Linked DNA regions of Danio rerio. The protein of the gene in region 2 interacts with the protein of the main gene of each other region in a pairwise test. Links are inferred from orthologs where the notes say so. Each region holds a gene or a part of one and is shown on either strand. Other genes may lie near its edges.

Region 1 (8,118 bases), on a different chromosome or scaffold from region 2:
AACAGTTAAATGTTGTCAATGCCTACGAATAACAAATGATTTACAAGTATTATTCATTTTTAGTAATGTAATAATTAATGTTTACAAATAAAAGCTTGTATAATGCTTCCTAATATTCTTGAATAAACATACGTTTCAGACAAATAAATACTAAATACAGTAGAGGGCTCATTCATAATAACTGAAAAAATTTAGCTAAATATACACAGGATTTTCATAACCTTAAATGAACTAGTCATAGATTAAAAACTAAACGCTACAATTTATACACTCCACAATTAGTCAGTTCTTAAAACTTCAAATTTACCCACTATTTATTCTCCATACCTTAATGAGTTTCTTTATCCTGATGAAGAACACTAAAGAAGATATTTTGAAGAAAGCTGAAAATCTGCAAACATTTGCTTCCATAGTAGGAAAAGCCAAACTAAAGCTCACCCAGAGCAAAGCATTCAAAGCACATTGCAAACATTTAGTAAATAGAAGATTAACAACTTTGTCTAGACTTTGACTGATCATGTTTTAATCATCGGTGTTAGTTTCATATTTGCACATGTTCCTTAATAACATAATTTTAGTAATATTTTTTTACCTGACCAGTCAGATAAGATATTTTTACAATGGAGAAACAAAGGATTAACCAGACACCAGAGTCAAAGATTTTTATATAGATGGGAAATTTGTTTCATCTGAACACCTGTTTAAAGCTGTTAATCTTTCTCAGTCACCATTTTCCCACTATTTACAGGTGCGCCACTACATAAAACATTCTTTAACTGAGTTTCAAGAACTGCCACAGGACCATAATATATACAATCTTTTGTGTAAACCTCCTATGGCCAAACATTTGGTAACGCAGTTTGTTTCTTTCTTTGTCTGCCAATTTGCTTTGTCTTCTGATCACCATAAATTGTCATGGAAAAAAGATATTGGAGTTAACATTTCAATTGATACCTGAGAAGAGGGGCTGAAGCGAATTCATACCTGTTCTATCAACGCTAGATTGCAACTCCTACAGTTTGAAGTGGTAAATATAGGCAACATTATACCAAAACTAATCTCAATAAAAATGCTCCCTTCAGTTTCCCTGTTATGTGACAGATGCAAAAGTTCAGATGGACCGTATGCTCATATTTTTTGGGTTTGCCCTGAGATCCCAGAGAATAATTTTCTGTTTTATTCAAATGTTTTAGGAGAAAACTTTAGTCCAGATATTGAATTAGCCCTGTTTGGATGCTGTGACCCTGTTAGCATGGTCAAATAATCAGCAAATGTCTATTATGTTTGGTATGGTGGTGGCTAAAAGGGTGATCTTGATGGATTGGAAGTCCACTCTACCACCTACTTACTTCAGAAATGGCTGACTAAAATTGTTCTTAAAGGGTCACGAAACACCAAAACACATTTTTTGAGCTGTTGACAGTCGTATATGTGTCCCACACTGCTAAAAACACTATTAGGACACCTATATTTCACTAAAAAGTGTAAATTGGTTGTTTTTGCGTTATTTTAAGCAAATTCGTACTTCCTGTTTGAAACGAATTTTTGAAGCTGCGTCACGGTCATGACATAATAGCGTGTATTCCAGCGTGCAGACTGGATGTCTGTGCCTGAGTGAGTCTTATTACGTCTTACAGTGTGATACATTAATGCATGAGTAAGGCTTGGGTCAAACCAATCAGCGCACTCTATTGTGCAACTTCATTAATATTCATTACTATCACCGTGTTTTCAGGACAGAGACGCCATGTTGTGTTGGCAAAACAAGCGTGAAGTGTTGCTTTTATAGTTTGCTGCAGTTAAGTTTCGTTTTCATTTTCTCTCTGTGAGAGCTCAGACTCACGTGTGGATTACAGTGTACGCGACGCGCGACAACAATAACTTACGTGTCTAAGGAGGATTATTGTTTACCTGAGAGCTGTTCTCATCTGCAAACGCTGAGATCTGGAATCGTTTGTAGTATTCTCTTCATAAAGACGCGGCTCTAGTTGCTGGTGATTGTCCTGTCTCTACAGATTTGGTAAGTGAGCGACCAGTGCTCTTTGTTTATTCAGTTTGTTCGTATCTAACAAACTATTGCACAGAGTGTAAACACGTTAGCACCACAACCAAACTTTAACCTCGTGTAGGGTTTTTACCGCATTTAGTGACCGGAATAACACGCGCGGCTTTCTGACACTACCTGTCGTGTGCATCTAAGTTTCTGGGAAATGCAGAGGGTTTTTTTCTCTCATTCGCCGTGCGGTATAAAACATTGCATGAAAAATACACGCTTAGAGCAGCTCCTCGAATCAAATGTCTCGTGTGTCGCGAGGGACATGAATGAATTCCCTGAATGAAAGAGCCAAACTGCAGTTAAAGTCCACCATTTAATAATTTGGCTAATAATTCGACTACAGATGTCCATGTAGGTTAAACACCATCACATTCTCCTGTATGTATGTGTGTGTGTGTGTGTGTGTGTGTGTATTTTGACTCTGAAACTCGCGCGTGCCCAAATCGACACTCCCACACCCTCCCACTTTAGTTCCTCCGACACTCCCCCCTAAACAGATCTGGACACGCCCACTTTTCTGACTTTTTCCAAAGAAGAGGTGTGAAAACACCCTGCTGAAACGAGGGGGTTTCATGGCCCTTTAAGCTTGAAAGAATTTGTTTTGCTAGGGCAGATGCTTCTAAACAGCTTGAAAAATCTGGGGCTTCTTCCTTGCATTTCTTTTTTTAAGAGTTGTAAGTAGGATTCTTGGACATTTTTGCTCTTTCTTTTCCACTCCATTTTTTAATGTTTTGAGTTTGATCAAGTAACACCTAATAGTGTATATGATTTACTCTATATGGAGCATGTTTGGATGGACTGGTTTTTGTCAGTTTGTCTGCACACTGTAAAACAGTCAACTTTATCAAGCAAAATGAGTGTAGCTAACTCAAAATGTACTGCAAGTTCATTTGAAAAGAGTTTTGAACTAGGCGTTGAAGATATTGAGCTAATTAAACCTCATTACTTCATCTTAAATGGAGGAAGTTCACAGTACTCATAGATTAGTTTTTAACTCAAATGCTTTATTGCAATCGGTTTCCTAAAACGGTTTGAGTCGCTTTAATTTATTGTTTTTTTACAGTACTAAGTTGGTTTGAGTTCTCTTTTTTTACTGGGTTTTACTGTGCTCAAATTGCTTCATTACACAAATGGATTAAGATCACAGTACCCATTAGGATTAGTTTCTGAACTTAAATGGTATGTTGAAATCAGTTTCCTCAAACAGTTTGAGTTACCTTAACTTTTTAGATTTACAGTGTATTTTTTCTTATCACTTGTATAAAATGATTGTGTAAATGTTTTGTTCTGTTTTGTACTTATAAAAATCTGTTATGAGTAAAATAATAGAATTTTAGAAAAGTATCTTTTGAAGTTTCAAAATAGGGAAATCATATTAGCAGCCAATAAATGACTATTAAAGCACAACATTGTTCAGAGTCGGTTGGTGCTGCTAATGTTGTTTTGAAGTCATACTTACATGCGATTTCAGACCGAATATTTAAAGTAGCATGGTGAACACAAAATAGGAACTGTGACACTAGTTGTCAGTGTTCAAAAATGAACGAATGTGTTAACATAAAACCAACTATACCTCAATATATTGATCTAGTTTAATCTATTCTCTTTACCTCCAGTTTGTGGTTGAGCTGGAAGATGGTTTGTGCTTTATGGCACAACTGAGCAAAACACGAGCTGAGACTGGTCATCTTCTGGCGGCCCTCATACGTGATATCAGCCTGATCCGGATCGATCTCTCCCAACAACAGATCCACGTCCACAAATGCCTTGTCAAACTCCTTCTCCAACACCTCCAGCCACCGGAACATGGACATACCGGAGCCGGTAGCCGCAGCCGGGCCGGCGGAGAGGCCCGATCCCGGTGATCCAGCACCGCCAGCGGACGCAGACATCTTCAAGACTGAGACAGGGGGGAAAACTCACGGAGAACTCGAATGTAGTCCTTCAGTAGGATAGATCAGTTGGTTTATGCTAATGATTGACTTCTGCTGTGTTACAGAGTCAGAGTGATGTTTAGCTGAGGTGTTTCCCGTGCTCTCATCTGACCAGGAAATCCGAGATCGAACAAGTCAACAACGCGGATTGATTAGTCGGGTCTGCCACACGATGAGGTAAGCAGTCGAATGATGAGCGAATCGATTTTTTTCAGGTTTTTGAGGTTATTAGCTTTTTTTTTTGGTCATTTACCGGACTTTTTAAAATTATTTTTTATTGACTTATATAAAAAAAATCTAACATTTATTATGGTACTTTTGATATACTCAATTTTTTATATGCTCAACATAAGATTTACTTTGGTACTTTTGATATACTCGATATATTTGGAGCAATGTTGAAGTTTCTAGAATTGCAAGTTTTTTGAAATGGAAGAAGAAAAAAAAGGGAGTTGCTTTTCGGCTTAGTCCCTCTATTAATATTAGGTTGCCACAGCAGAATGAACCGCCAACTTATTCAGTATTACGCAGCGGATACCCTTCCAGCTGCAACCCATCACTGGGAAACATCCATACACTCACACATTCACACTCATACACTACGTACAATTTAGCTTACTCAATTTACCTATACCGCATGTCTTTGGACTATGGGGGAAACCGAAGCATCCGGAGGAAACCCACGGGTTCACAGGGCAAACATGCACACTCCACACAGAAATGCTTACTGACCCAGCCGATTCTCGAACCAGCGACCTTCTTGCTGTGAGGCAATCGTGCTACCCACTGCGCCACCGTGATGCCTGTGGAAGTTTTATCGCTCCTATTTTAAAAACATTCATTATCATCTAAACATGTGATTTTGGGCTTATTATGTCCTCTTTATAGAATGCTGGTTTTATTAGAAACTTTATTTTATTATGATGTTAATTTTTCATTCATAAATGCTAAAAAGTGATTATCATATCATCTATACATATATGATGTCTAAAAATAAAAAAGTAATTAAAACAATTAATACTGATTATGCTCCTTTAACATTTTAACATATCATGGATTAAGCTCTAAAACTTTATAGCGGATATATTTTGTCTAGAAGTATCTGCAATAATTACTTTTTAAAATTATTTTTATTTTATATAGTTTTACTTTATATTTGTTCTATTTAATTTTGTTTTATGTTTGGGTTATATATATGTTTATGCATTTGTTTTTAACTTTTTAAATGACTTTGAACTTTTATTTGTAACTTTAAATTTTACAGTAATGATGACATGTTTATTTATTGATTGATTGATTAAACTATGTTAGGTTATTTAAATACATTAATAAAATAAATTGTACAATTTATGACATTTATGTATTTTTTTAGATTCTTTAAAGATATTAAGAGCAATGTTGAATTTTACAATAAATGATTATGATGCATGCTGTTTATTTAAGTATTTATTTGTTTACTTATTGAACATTTTATTGATTTTTATGTTTTTTAAATATATTAATAGCTCTGCTCAATCATACAATAATTATTTATATTATTTATTTTATTTATTCATTTATTTGTTTATTTATTTATTGGCTTTTTTTAAATCACACAGATGTATATATATTTCAGGGATAAGACAAAATAATGTAAAGTTTTAATAATACCCAATTAGTAATAGAATAAAAATATAACTTTTTATATATTGAGAAAAAAATAATAATATTACAAAAAAATTTATATATATATTTAAGACCTTAATTAAATAATTAAAAATCAAGGCATGGTCATATTTTATTTTGGTAAAATAAGCACAATCTAGAGGCCTTTGCCTTTCATATAAGCCACTTCTGGTACCAAATGATCGACTAGAAGTCAAGTTATTATTAGTTGTTTCTAAAATTGTAAAAGGCGACAAGACAGAAGTCTGGTAGTGTATAAAACTTTAAACTTTGTTTTGTAATTAGGAAAATAAAATGCCAAGCATGAATCTGGCTCTGCTAGTTAAGCCTTATGTGCAAAATGCAACTTCAGCACACACAGAGGTGTGCGAGGTTGTGTTTTCATAACGAAGATGTTCTGAGCGATAATGTGTGTTTTGCTTTAACATGAGCCAGAACAGAGACATGCGGGTTCACCAGTGCTCTTCTCAAACAACAGCAAAATAAACCTGATTTTATTGCTGTTCAGGATTTCATTTAGCTGTTCCACAATCTTAACTAACTAACTAACTAACTAACTAACTAACTAACTACACTGTAAAAAATATCTGTTAATTAATAGTTTCCGTATTTTGTGATTCACAAGTGTTTTCCATTTATTTACGGTTGTGAATTGCATTATGGGAGCTTGATCTTTGCTCTGTCTACTTTTGATGTTGAAAATGTAACTCTACAGTTTAACAAAGTCAATTTTATTGACATTTTAGTAGTTTGAAATAATATAATGTATAAGAAATATTATGTAGAGAAATACGTCTGCAAAATAGCAGAAAATGTACTGCCAGTTTATTACAAGGTTTTTGTAGCGTAATATACATCACCATCCAGACAATATCACTTTAAACTATTCAAAATGTTACCAAAAGTCACATTTTTGAACTTTTTAAGGTACCTTAATGCAAGTCACAAACATAAATAAATGGGAGAAAATAAAAACATGAATCACAAAATACAGAAAACTGATCATTTACAGAGATTTTTTACAGTGTAACTTGCTAAGCATTAGTTTTAAGTGGATGATTTTTGCTGAATATCCAGTTTTACTTAATAGTGAATTAGAAAATGTCTGTAATATTAAGAGAATGTTCTTCAAATTGATAGTATTATTGTTGTTGTTGTTGTTGTATAATTGAGAAATATCTGGCAGCTAGCTCTCTGCAGCTCTCACATGGTTGCCCGCTGAAGCTATGCAAGGCTGTGTCCTGTCCGGTCAGTACCTAGATGGGAGACCATATGGGAAAGCTGGGTTGCTGCTGGCAGAGGTGTTAGTGAGGCCAGCAGAGGGCGCTCAATCTGTGATCTATGTGGGTCCTAAAACCCCAGTATATTGATGGGGGATTCTATACTGCTCAGTGAGTGCTGTCTTTTGAATGAGATGTTAAACCGAGGTCCTGACTCTCTGTGGTCATTAAAAATCCCAGGATGTCCTTCAAAAAGAGTAAGGGTTTAACCCTGGCATCCTGGCCAAATTTGCCCACTTGGCCAAATTTGCCCATCATGGCCTCCCAACCATCCCCATATGATAATTGGCTTCATCACGCTGTCTCCTCTCCACCAATCAGCTGGTGTGTGGTGTGTGGTCTGGCACAATATGGCTGCCGTCGCTTCATCCAGGTAGATGCTGCACGCTGGTGATGGATGAGGAGAGTCCCCCTTCCGTTATGTAAAGCGATTTGAGCGTCTAGAAAAGAGCTATATTAATGTAAGGAATTAATATTAAGTAATTAGTTTTCATTCATGTAGAATATATATTTTTATTGTTTATTTGTATCTTTGTCTTCATTTTAATTATTGTGTATATGTGCATACTTTTGACATTTTTATTAGTTTTTTTAACGCATATTTTTTATTCCTTCGTATAACGTTTATACCCATTCAGGTTGTAGTTATTTTAATTTCAAGTTAAACTTGGTCTAAACATATGCAGCTGAAATTAAACTATTTTAAGTTTTGTATATTTCAGAAATTGTATTAATTTATAGGTCAGATATTTTTCAGGTTTGCCCAGACTTGAAGAAGCAACTTTGTCATTTTGTGAGCTGGAGCAGATCAGCTTAAGTGTGTTCAAATGAGATCTATCTAAAAAACAAACAAGCAAGTGCAGTTTCCCCCATGGCCTGCCCTCAGGTCTGAAGATCCTCTTTCTGGGCCACAACAAGACACACAGCTTGCATATGGAGCTCCTGAAGGCCCTCCAGAAACAACCAGATTAGCTCCTGCATTCAAACATGACATTTCTGGAAAAGCTTGATTGTCTGTAAGTGTTGACAACCCTCACAAGACAATGATTTGCTAGATCATTCCACAAGACATGTTTAAAAAATTTGTTTAAAGAGATTTGAACCATGAAACCAACCATTTTAAATAACAAAGCTGTACAATTAAACCAAACTGAGTCAATTAATCCAAATCCAAACCGAGTCA
Region 2 (8,100 bases):
CGACTTGCACAACTTGCATATGGGAGAGACGCGCACATGTTGTGCAAGCGATGCGTATGTAAAGAGCATGCATTTTCCAGGCGCACCTAGTTGAAAACATCTGAACATTTTCGAATGTCGCAAGCGCACCGCGATTCCAATCGGCTTCACACTTTTGTATGTAATATACACAATTCAGTAATAACGGCAGACTAATTCCCTCAGATAAACACTGTGCATTCAAACACTGCAGTGGTTTTTACTTTTCACGCGCACACGCTTGTCACTTCTGGTCAGAATAACAACACATGCTAAAATGAGTGCTGTATAGCAGCAGTGAGGAAATTGTAAATAAAAAAAAGGATGTAAGGATGTCGCTAGAGTGGCTTTTTGGTTCCTTTTCTTGTGCATCCCAACCGCCAGCACCCCATCTAAAAGGGGTAATATAGTCATCCAACTTCACAACTTGTAATGTTGCAGTATGCATTTGAATAATGATGGCTGGTTCCTGTACATGAAAGTTCAGATTTGATTATCATAATTTGCTTTGTTTACAGAGTTTGAGGTTTACTGTATCATTAATATACACACCTAAAATTTTACTTAATTGTTCACCATTTAAGCTTTACCATTGCACACACTTTGGAACATTTTATTTATCAAGTTTAAGAGTCTCTGTATCACTTATGTTTATTTTATTATAAAGAGATCAGATATTTTGTTTGAATATTTTTGTTTTTGACTAATAAAACTTAGTAGTGTAATTTGTTATTAGTAATTTGCCTTTGTAATGTTGGTAAATTAAAATAAAGCGGTTAAACAAAAAAAAAAAAAAAATCCTAATATTCCTAAATGGATTGTCAAAAAAAATCGTCAATAATTATCTACATCAAATGATATGAAACATGATATTGTGTTATATATTTTTTTTCAATATCACCCAGCCCTACTTGGAGCTTTGTATGATTACAGGTGAACCACTGAAGTCACAGGGAATGTTTTAACAGTATTTTTAGTTCATTTTGTGGACTTTGAAAATGTTGGGATTGGGATGTCAACGGAGGGTCAGAAAGATGTCATCTAAAAAAATCAAAAAATTTCTAAAATGAAGTTATTCTTTAAGGCACTGGTTCCCAACCTTTTTTTTTCACTGCGGACCAATAAATGCTTGACAATTTTATTGTGGCTGGGTGCACCCACCTGAGGTGGCGGGTGTTGTGATGCATGACATCCATCATCCGTTTTCTCAGAGGATGACAAGCTGACAAAACATTGCTGCAACTCTGATACAAGTTTTATTTATGGAGAAAATTACAAAGCACTGCAATGTTTGGGTGTTCTGTGGTATGATCAATACAAAGTATGAAGCTGATCGCTCAGTTCTTGTGATGTGACTCACTGTGCACTTTCGACATTCGGAAAAGTTGAGTTGTTTTCAGCTGAGTTCTCCAGGAAGGTTCTAGCGTGTCACACTGCTTAAGCGTGCGCCTCCATTGTAAATAACAAACTTGCACGCAGAAAAGACACGATATGTGAATAGCTGCCATCATTTGTGATCGAGATATTCGTGATATTCTGGATATACCTGATTTATTGACGAATTGGTTGCGGATCCATTTCTTGCCAGTTCTCGGGTCCTTCACTGTTGTGATGACCTTTTCTTACTCATTTTGCTAACTTTCTGGGTTTAAAGATTGGCGCTCAAATGTAATTTTTCAAAATAAAAGATATAAAAAAAAAAAAGATTGTTCAGACTCAGATATAAAAAATAAAACAGAAATATTTAATGATTTCTTCAGAAATATTTCATGATATTTAATGATTTCTTGATTTCTTGGCCCGGTACCAATTGATCCACGGACTGGTACTGGTTTGTGACCCGGGGACCATTGCTTTAAGGCATTAAATGAATGAGATCGCTTACATTTAATTGTGAACATTGATCTAAACTAAGTCCTAACTAAGTTTTGAGACGATGTTGAGGTTTTCTGAAAGTGGGAAATCTAAAACTTAGCTTAGTAGCAGATTCAAAACAGGACTAACATTATCTTTGTGAAACATTTGTGCACCTTAAACCTCAACATTTATTAGTTAGTTACTTAGCTACTTAGTTGCTGAGATTATCTTTGGCAGGTATTGTGTGAAAACTCTAATGATGGATGGCTGCTTCTCACTCAAGGCTGTCTATGCTTATGAGGAAGAGATTGTCACAAATGGGCGGGGCTTTCCCCCTCTGATGACACTTAAAAAGAGAGAATGTCAATCAAAGTGTTTCTCCTGACTGTGATCTATTAGCGGCTGGATATATTCACACACTGCTGCCACGCAACTGTGTTTAAACCTCTTATAAATGAGACTTTTGCATAGTAGGTTCTCTTTAAGTTACATTTTTCATTTGCATTGACTACAGGATCTCTAATTCAAGGTGAAGCAACCGAGATATTAAAACGATCTCATTTGTTTTCTTTCTTTCTTATGGATGTTTGCATCTGCCAGGTTTCTCTGAAGGGTGCACAGCGTTGATGGAATGAGGAAATGAAAACCCCTACTGAAACAGTTCCTCTGGAAAGAACATGATTCCTACTTTATTGTTTTCCACGGGTGGGGGGTACCATGAACTAACCTCACCTAGAGAAGACACAGACACTCACACGGCCACAGGCTCCATGAGGATTCATGCAGGACCAGAGAGTGCTCATGCATATTTAATATACTGCTAACTGAGAGAGGGGGGATTTGAGAGAAAAAGACAATGAGAACAACAAGAATCTCTTTCGGTCACTCATTAGTGATGTTTGCCAAGTTATCCAAACTTCCATTTGAATTATAAACTAATAAGCCTTGCAGTGTAACTCCTGTTAATGGTGTAGACATGCACGATACTATGAATCATGCAACTTATTAAAAACTGATCAATGACAATGCTACAGTTTAGGGTTGTAACGGTATGAATTTTTTACGGTATGATAATCGTAAAAAACAATACCACGGTTTGACGGTTTCGCGGTATACGGTATTAAATAGTAATTCTCATAGCAAAGACCCTGAAAAGAATAAGAACACGTTTTCTGACTGAACAAAGGTTTTTCTATGGGGAAAAAAATGCATTTATTTACTGACAATGTTTTTGCCCAAAAGGTCTGGGAATAAACAAAACAGAAAATAAGTGTTACAAAATAATAAAACAGTGAAGCAAATTTGACTTTTTCCAAATAATATATTTTCAGTTACTATAAACAACACCACTTACAATGAACAAATAAAAAAATAAGAAAATAATAAATAATGTGTCAAAGTCCAAATAAACATGGTGCAAATCCTCAGTAAAAAAGAGATATAATTATTTACTATACTATAAATAGTTACATAACGAAACTAGATTCAATATGGAACATCCTTAGGTTTTATGTGCCAGCATGGATATGGTTGTCTATGGATATGGATTTGGATTTGGTTGTCTGTGGATATGGATTTGGATATGGTTGTCTGCAATGCAGTTAAACAGCTGCATCTTCATTTGCGTCTTTTGAAAACAGCAAGAGCAGCAGTTCGTCTTTGCTGTGTCACTGTTTTGTCATGTTTCTGTGCTGCTGTGCATGCAAAAGTACTTAGTATGAGAATTATTTCATGCAAAACTTTTTTTTTTTTTGCGTTTTATTTAGCCGCGCATAAATGTATGCCTATCTCTCATTCCGTGTTGTTCAAAAAGCTCAGTGTTGGTCCACAAACAAAAGCGAAACCTATGCTTATTGGTTGTGATATAGCGAGTTTGAACCAATCTGGGCATGGAGGAGGGACAATGCATCAATGTATCATGTCTGGTTTGTCCGGAGACACAGTGACGAGCGTTTCTTTGTCAAATCAGCGTTGTCAAATTTTGATGACGTAACCGCACTGATTCCGGAGCCTCTGAAAGTCGGCGAATGTAATGTGATACAGCACTGGAAAGCTGAGATTCTCTTCTTTATGCCAATCTTTGAATTGTATGAATGGGATCAGCGGATCAAAAGTTATTAAACATTTAAGAGCAATACTTATTTTTAGCCGCGGGCGGCTGTCTCAGTCTTTAAGGGTTAAAACCGTTGATATGCAATTGTTCATGGTATGATAATCGTGCACGTTCAAATCGAGGTAGACCGTCATACCGGTATATTGTTACAACCCTACTACAGTTATAAGCTGACTAATAATTAAATGGAATTGTTCGAAGTAAGCAACTACTGTAACAATCATCAAGAACCTTCTAACAATGACCTTAAAACATTACAGCAACTGCAAACAACAAGGAACAAAAGTAGTAACATATCTTGTCCTTGGTAGTATTTTTTCTTTTAAATATGTCTAATAGACACCCAAAGATAGACATCTTGGCTAAAATAAGGCAACATTTTGTTTGTCAGTGAACATAGATGTCTAATAATAGATCTAAATAAATCCAAAGCTGGATATCACATTAAACATTGGTGAATAAAGCACTGTCAAAAACAATAAAATCCACACTTGCTGTTATGAACCCTTTTTTTAATCAAATCTAAATAATTAATTCATAAAGGGAACGCAACATAAAGAAGACTTTAAATTAATAAATTTATTACAACCAAAACAATCAAACAAATCGTGTCACAACTGAATCAGCATGAATAAGGAAACAATAACTCACGTTCTCCAACACATATACAACACTAACCAAAGTAGGGGTGTCAAAATTAATTGTTTCTTCGGTGCACTGTGATGCAGACGCGGACAATAAGGTATCATAATTCAGTAATAATCATAATAGGTTATTATGTACTGACGTCATTTATCTCCTATGCGCTCTGTCGTGAGGGAGGTGAGCGCGAGTATTTAAAACACTCAGCCAACTCAGGGCCGGCCCGTGGTATAGGCACCATAGGCAAATGCTAAGGGCGCTGTATATCCAGGGGGCGCCAGAAATGAGCGCGGTTCAGTTGGTTTTGTTTTCGATATTCCTGACACACATTCAGTTATAGCGGCAATAACTCAACCCCCCCCCCCCCCCAAAAGTTTAGCCTACTTGAATGAATCATTCACAAGAGATATATCATACTTACTTACTTTAAGTCCACTTGTGCAATGGTTTGGGCCAGAAAAGTACCACTCACATTTTCTCCAAACATGTAAAAATGTAGTTTTTGTCATGTTCCCTAAGAGGTTTCTTCAACCCTGCTCTGTAATGAATGTTAGTCACATTCTTGAGGGTACAATAATGTTTGAGTGCTAAAAAAACCTGCTCAGAGAGTTCAGCACTGCAGGACAGGAGACTGCTGTGTTCAGCACTCACACTTACACAGATGAAAGTGTAGGGTAAAGCCAGCTAAGACGAACAGACTGCTGCAAGAAGAGCTGCTTGGTTAATGCTTTTAGAGCGTTATATTTCACTGGGAGAGAGGGCAGTGGACAGAGGGAGATAAACACTGTGATGCTTGATGGAGGTGGTCGCTCAGGCTGAAATAGCATGCTTAAAAGAATAGGTGCAAATGTAAGCTTTAGGGCTTTATCATTATGCCGTCTGGAATGCTTAATGCTGATTAGAAATTTGCAGAATTCCAAGGTATGTTATCCCAAGATAACAACTGCTAAATAACAAAGGCTGATCTGGAAACTTCGAATCATCAAGACCATCAATGAATATGGTGCCATCTTTTTATGAGCGAATAATACATAGATTAGTCTAAGTTTCATCCAGCCGGCTTCATTTCTGTCAGCTTTTACGTTTTTGACTGTTTGCCCCTATCTCGTGACGGAATGATGCGCAGGTTAATGTATGCTCCATCAGCTGCCTTTGTTTCTGTCCGCTTTCCATTTAATTAAAGATTTAATAAAGTATTACGGCTCAGAACAGTATTTTGTGTCTAATTTTAAAGTTTTATGGCAAGTAGCCGGGTAATAAGCGCGATAAAGTACACCCAGGATAGTATCGCAGAACAAAGCACTTCTGTCTTATACAACAATGTTGTTGTATGTCACATCTTAAAGCTGCACTTTATGCCTAACTTAAATTAAAATGACTTTAATTTTCTTTTAAAAGTTTCACATTTTTAAGCCACTACAGAATGAAATTCAATGTACTCAGGAGGATTTATGGAAAACTAAACACTTAAAATAAAACAGCAGTACTTGTAGCCGATATAAGATTCAGTCAGAAGTACAAAGTCAGCAATAGATACAGCATTTCTATAAAATTTATATGAAGCTTAACTACGATTTTAGCCAAAAAACACAAATTCACTCTTGTTGCAAACCTTTGTTCCTTTCTTCTGTTGAAAACAAAAAATATCTTGTAGAGGTAACACTTTATAATAAGGTTCATTAGATAATGCATTTACTAACATGAACTAATCATGAACAACACATGTACAGCATTTATTAATCATAATTGAACATTTACTAATGCATTATTAACATCTAAGTCCATGCTAGTTAACATTAGTTAATGCACTATGAGTTAACATGAACTAACAATGAACTACTGTATTTTCATTAACTAACCTTAACTAACATGAACAAATACAGTATTAAATGTGTTGTTCATTGTTTGTTCATGTTAGTAAATGCATTAATTAACATTAACTAATGAACCTTATTGTAAAGTGTGACCCTTAAAGAAAGCTGGAACCAGTGACTTCCATAGACGGAAAAAAAAAAATACTAAGGACGTCAATGGTTAAGGTTAGTCAAAGTATCTTATGGTGTATTCAACAAAAAAAAAAAAAAAAAAAAAAAAACTATAAGGATGAGTAAATTAAGATTTATATGGGAACTATACCTTCAATACAAAGCATTGTAGATCAGAAGTGTCAAGTTTTTATGTTTGTATCTTTATACAGTCCCGAACATCATGAAGCTCCTGAACAGGTGGATTGATGTGCTGAGAGGGTTATAAAGCTTTGCTTCTTCTCTCAGACTGTTATAAAGCACAGAGAAGTGTTAAAGATGGTTCCTAATGATATGAGCCTCCTCATGTCTGGCCAGAAAGCACAATGGTCTCCCCATTGACCAACTCGGCCAAAACTACCATATATTTCTGCTTTCTGGGAACATCTGGAAAAACTATTCCTCCTGAGGAACCATTCCCTCTCTCTCTCTCCCTCCCTCACTCTCTCACTTTCTTTCTCTCTCCCTCTTGTTAAAGTCCTATGGGAAGATGTCTCAGAGATAAGTAACATGCAGCTGGTTTCCAACCAAAAACAAGTGTGTGTTTGTGGAACAGGGGCTCCTGAAGAAGTCTGGTGTGATATGAGATCTGCTTCACATATTCTCAAAGAAGGAAAGAAAACGAGCAGCACTTCGGGATGATGAGGATGTTGGGTGGAAAACACTCTCAGTTGACTAAGAGCACTTTGGCTGTCATTCATGCACTCATCAGTGATCTGCGTTTGAATCGAGTCAGCCAGCCTTTACTTCATTCTCGGATGTGTGAATAGTGTGTGTATTTTTGGGATTGTGCTGGAGTGGAACACAGCTGGTGTATTAATGAACGCACCAGGAGCATTGGCACCGTAAACCATACGGCTGACTGCCAGCAAGAACTAACTGTAGCGTTTAAGAATGGAGGCAAAGAAACTGTCAGAGCCAGGGTCACACAACCTGATCTGTTACTTTTAAACACACATTGAGGCGATTCACGTTTTTCTTTTCCAGTACGCTACTTTTCTATTGTTTGTAATTGTGCTTAACGGATGTGTGTAGATGGTGCACTCATGTTTCACAACTTTTGAAGCACCAACCTCATGAATGCTAAATTATTTAGACACTGTGTTAAACGAACCAAAGCTTTCACATGCAGTGCTGCTCATCACTGTCAGTTCCAAAGCAGTGGACCAATCAGAAGAACACAGAGACAGAGATGTTGCAAGGTTCTGTTTACAGGCGCTCAGATGCTGTGCAAGCTTACCATTAAGTTCTTAATCCTGTGCTTTTTTTTTCAAACCATACTGAAGTATTGCATCTCGCATTTTTAGAAGCTTAGACACATTCAATGTGCTCATTAAGTGCTTTTACAAATGGTCCCTAAAGTTGCCATAGTTTTTCGAGTTAGGGTCCAGTCTGATTATTTTATAATAAATACATTACATCACTGTCCTCGAAAAACAACCAAAA

What was found.
Region 1: the proteins of mylka (region 2) and gopc interact in binary tests that used the Homo sapiens proteins (3 or more experiments, as listed by UniProt). The two-hybrid records come from large-scale screens. The link is inferred for Danio rerio from reciprocal best matches to the Homo sapiens genes MYLK and GOPC.

Annotation. Positions count from the first base shown.
Region 1 is NC_133195.1:45,538,991-45,547,108, reverse strand, and holds the start of gopc (Golgi-associated PDZ and coiled-coil motif-containing protein), read right to left. Parts: upstream 4,086-8,118; 5' UTR 3,949-4,085; coding exon 3,667-3,948; intron 1-3,666.
Region 2 is NC_133184.1:4,194,409-4,202,508, forward strand, and holds the start of mylka (myosin light chain kinase, smooth muscle), read right to left. Parts: upstream 5,280-8,100; 5' UTR 5,052-5,279; intron 1-5,051. UniProt on the Homo sapiens protein: Calcium/calmodulin-dependent myosin light chain kinase implicated in smooth muscle contraction via phosphorylation of myosin light chains (MLC). Also regulates actin-myosin interaction through a non-kinase activity.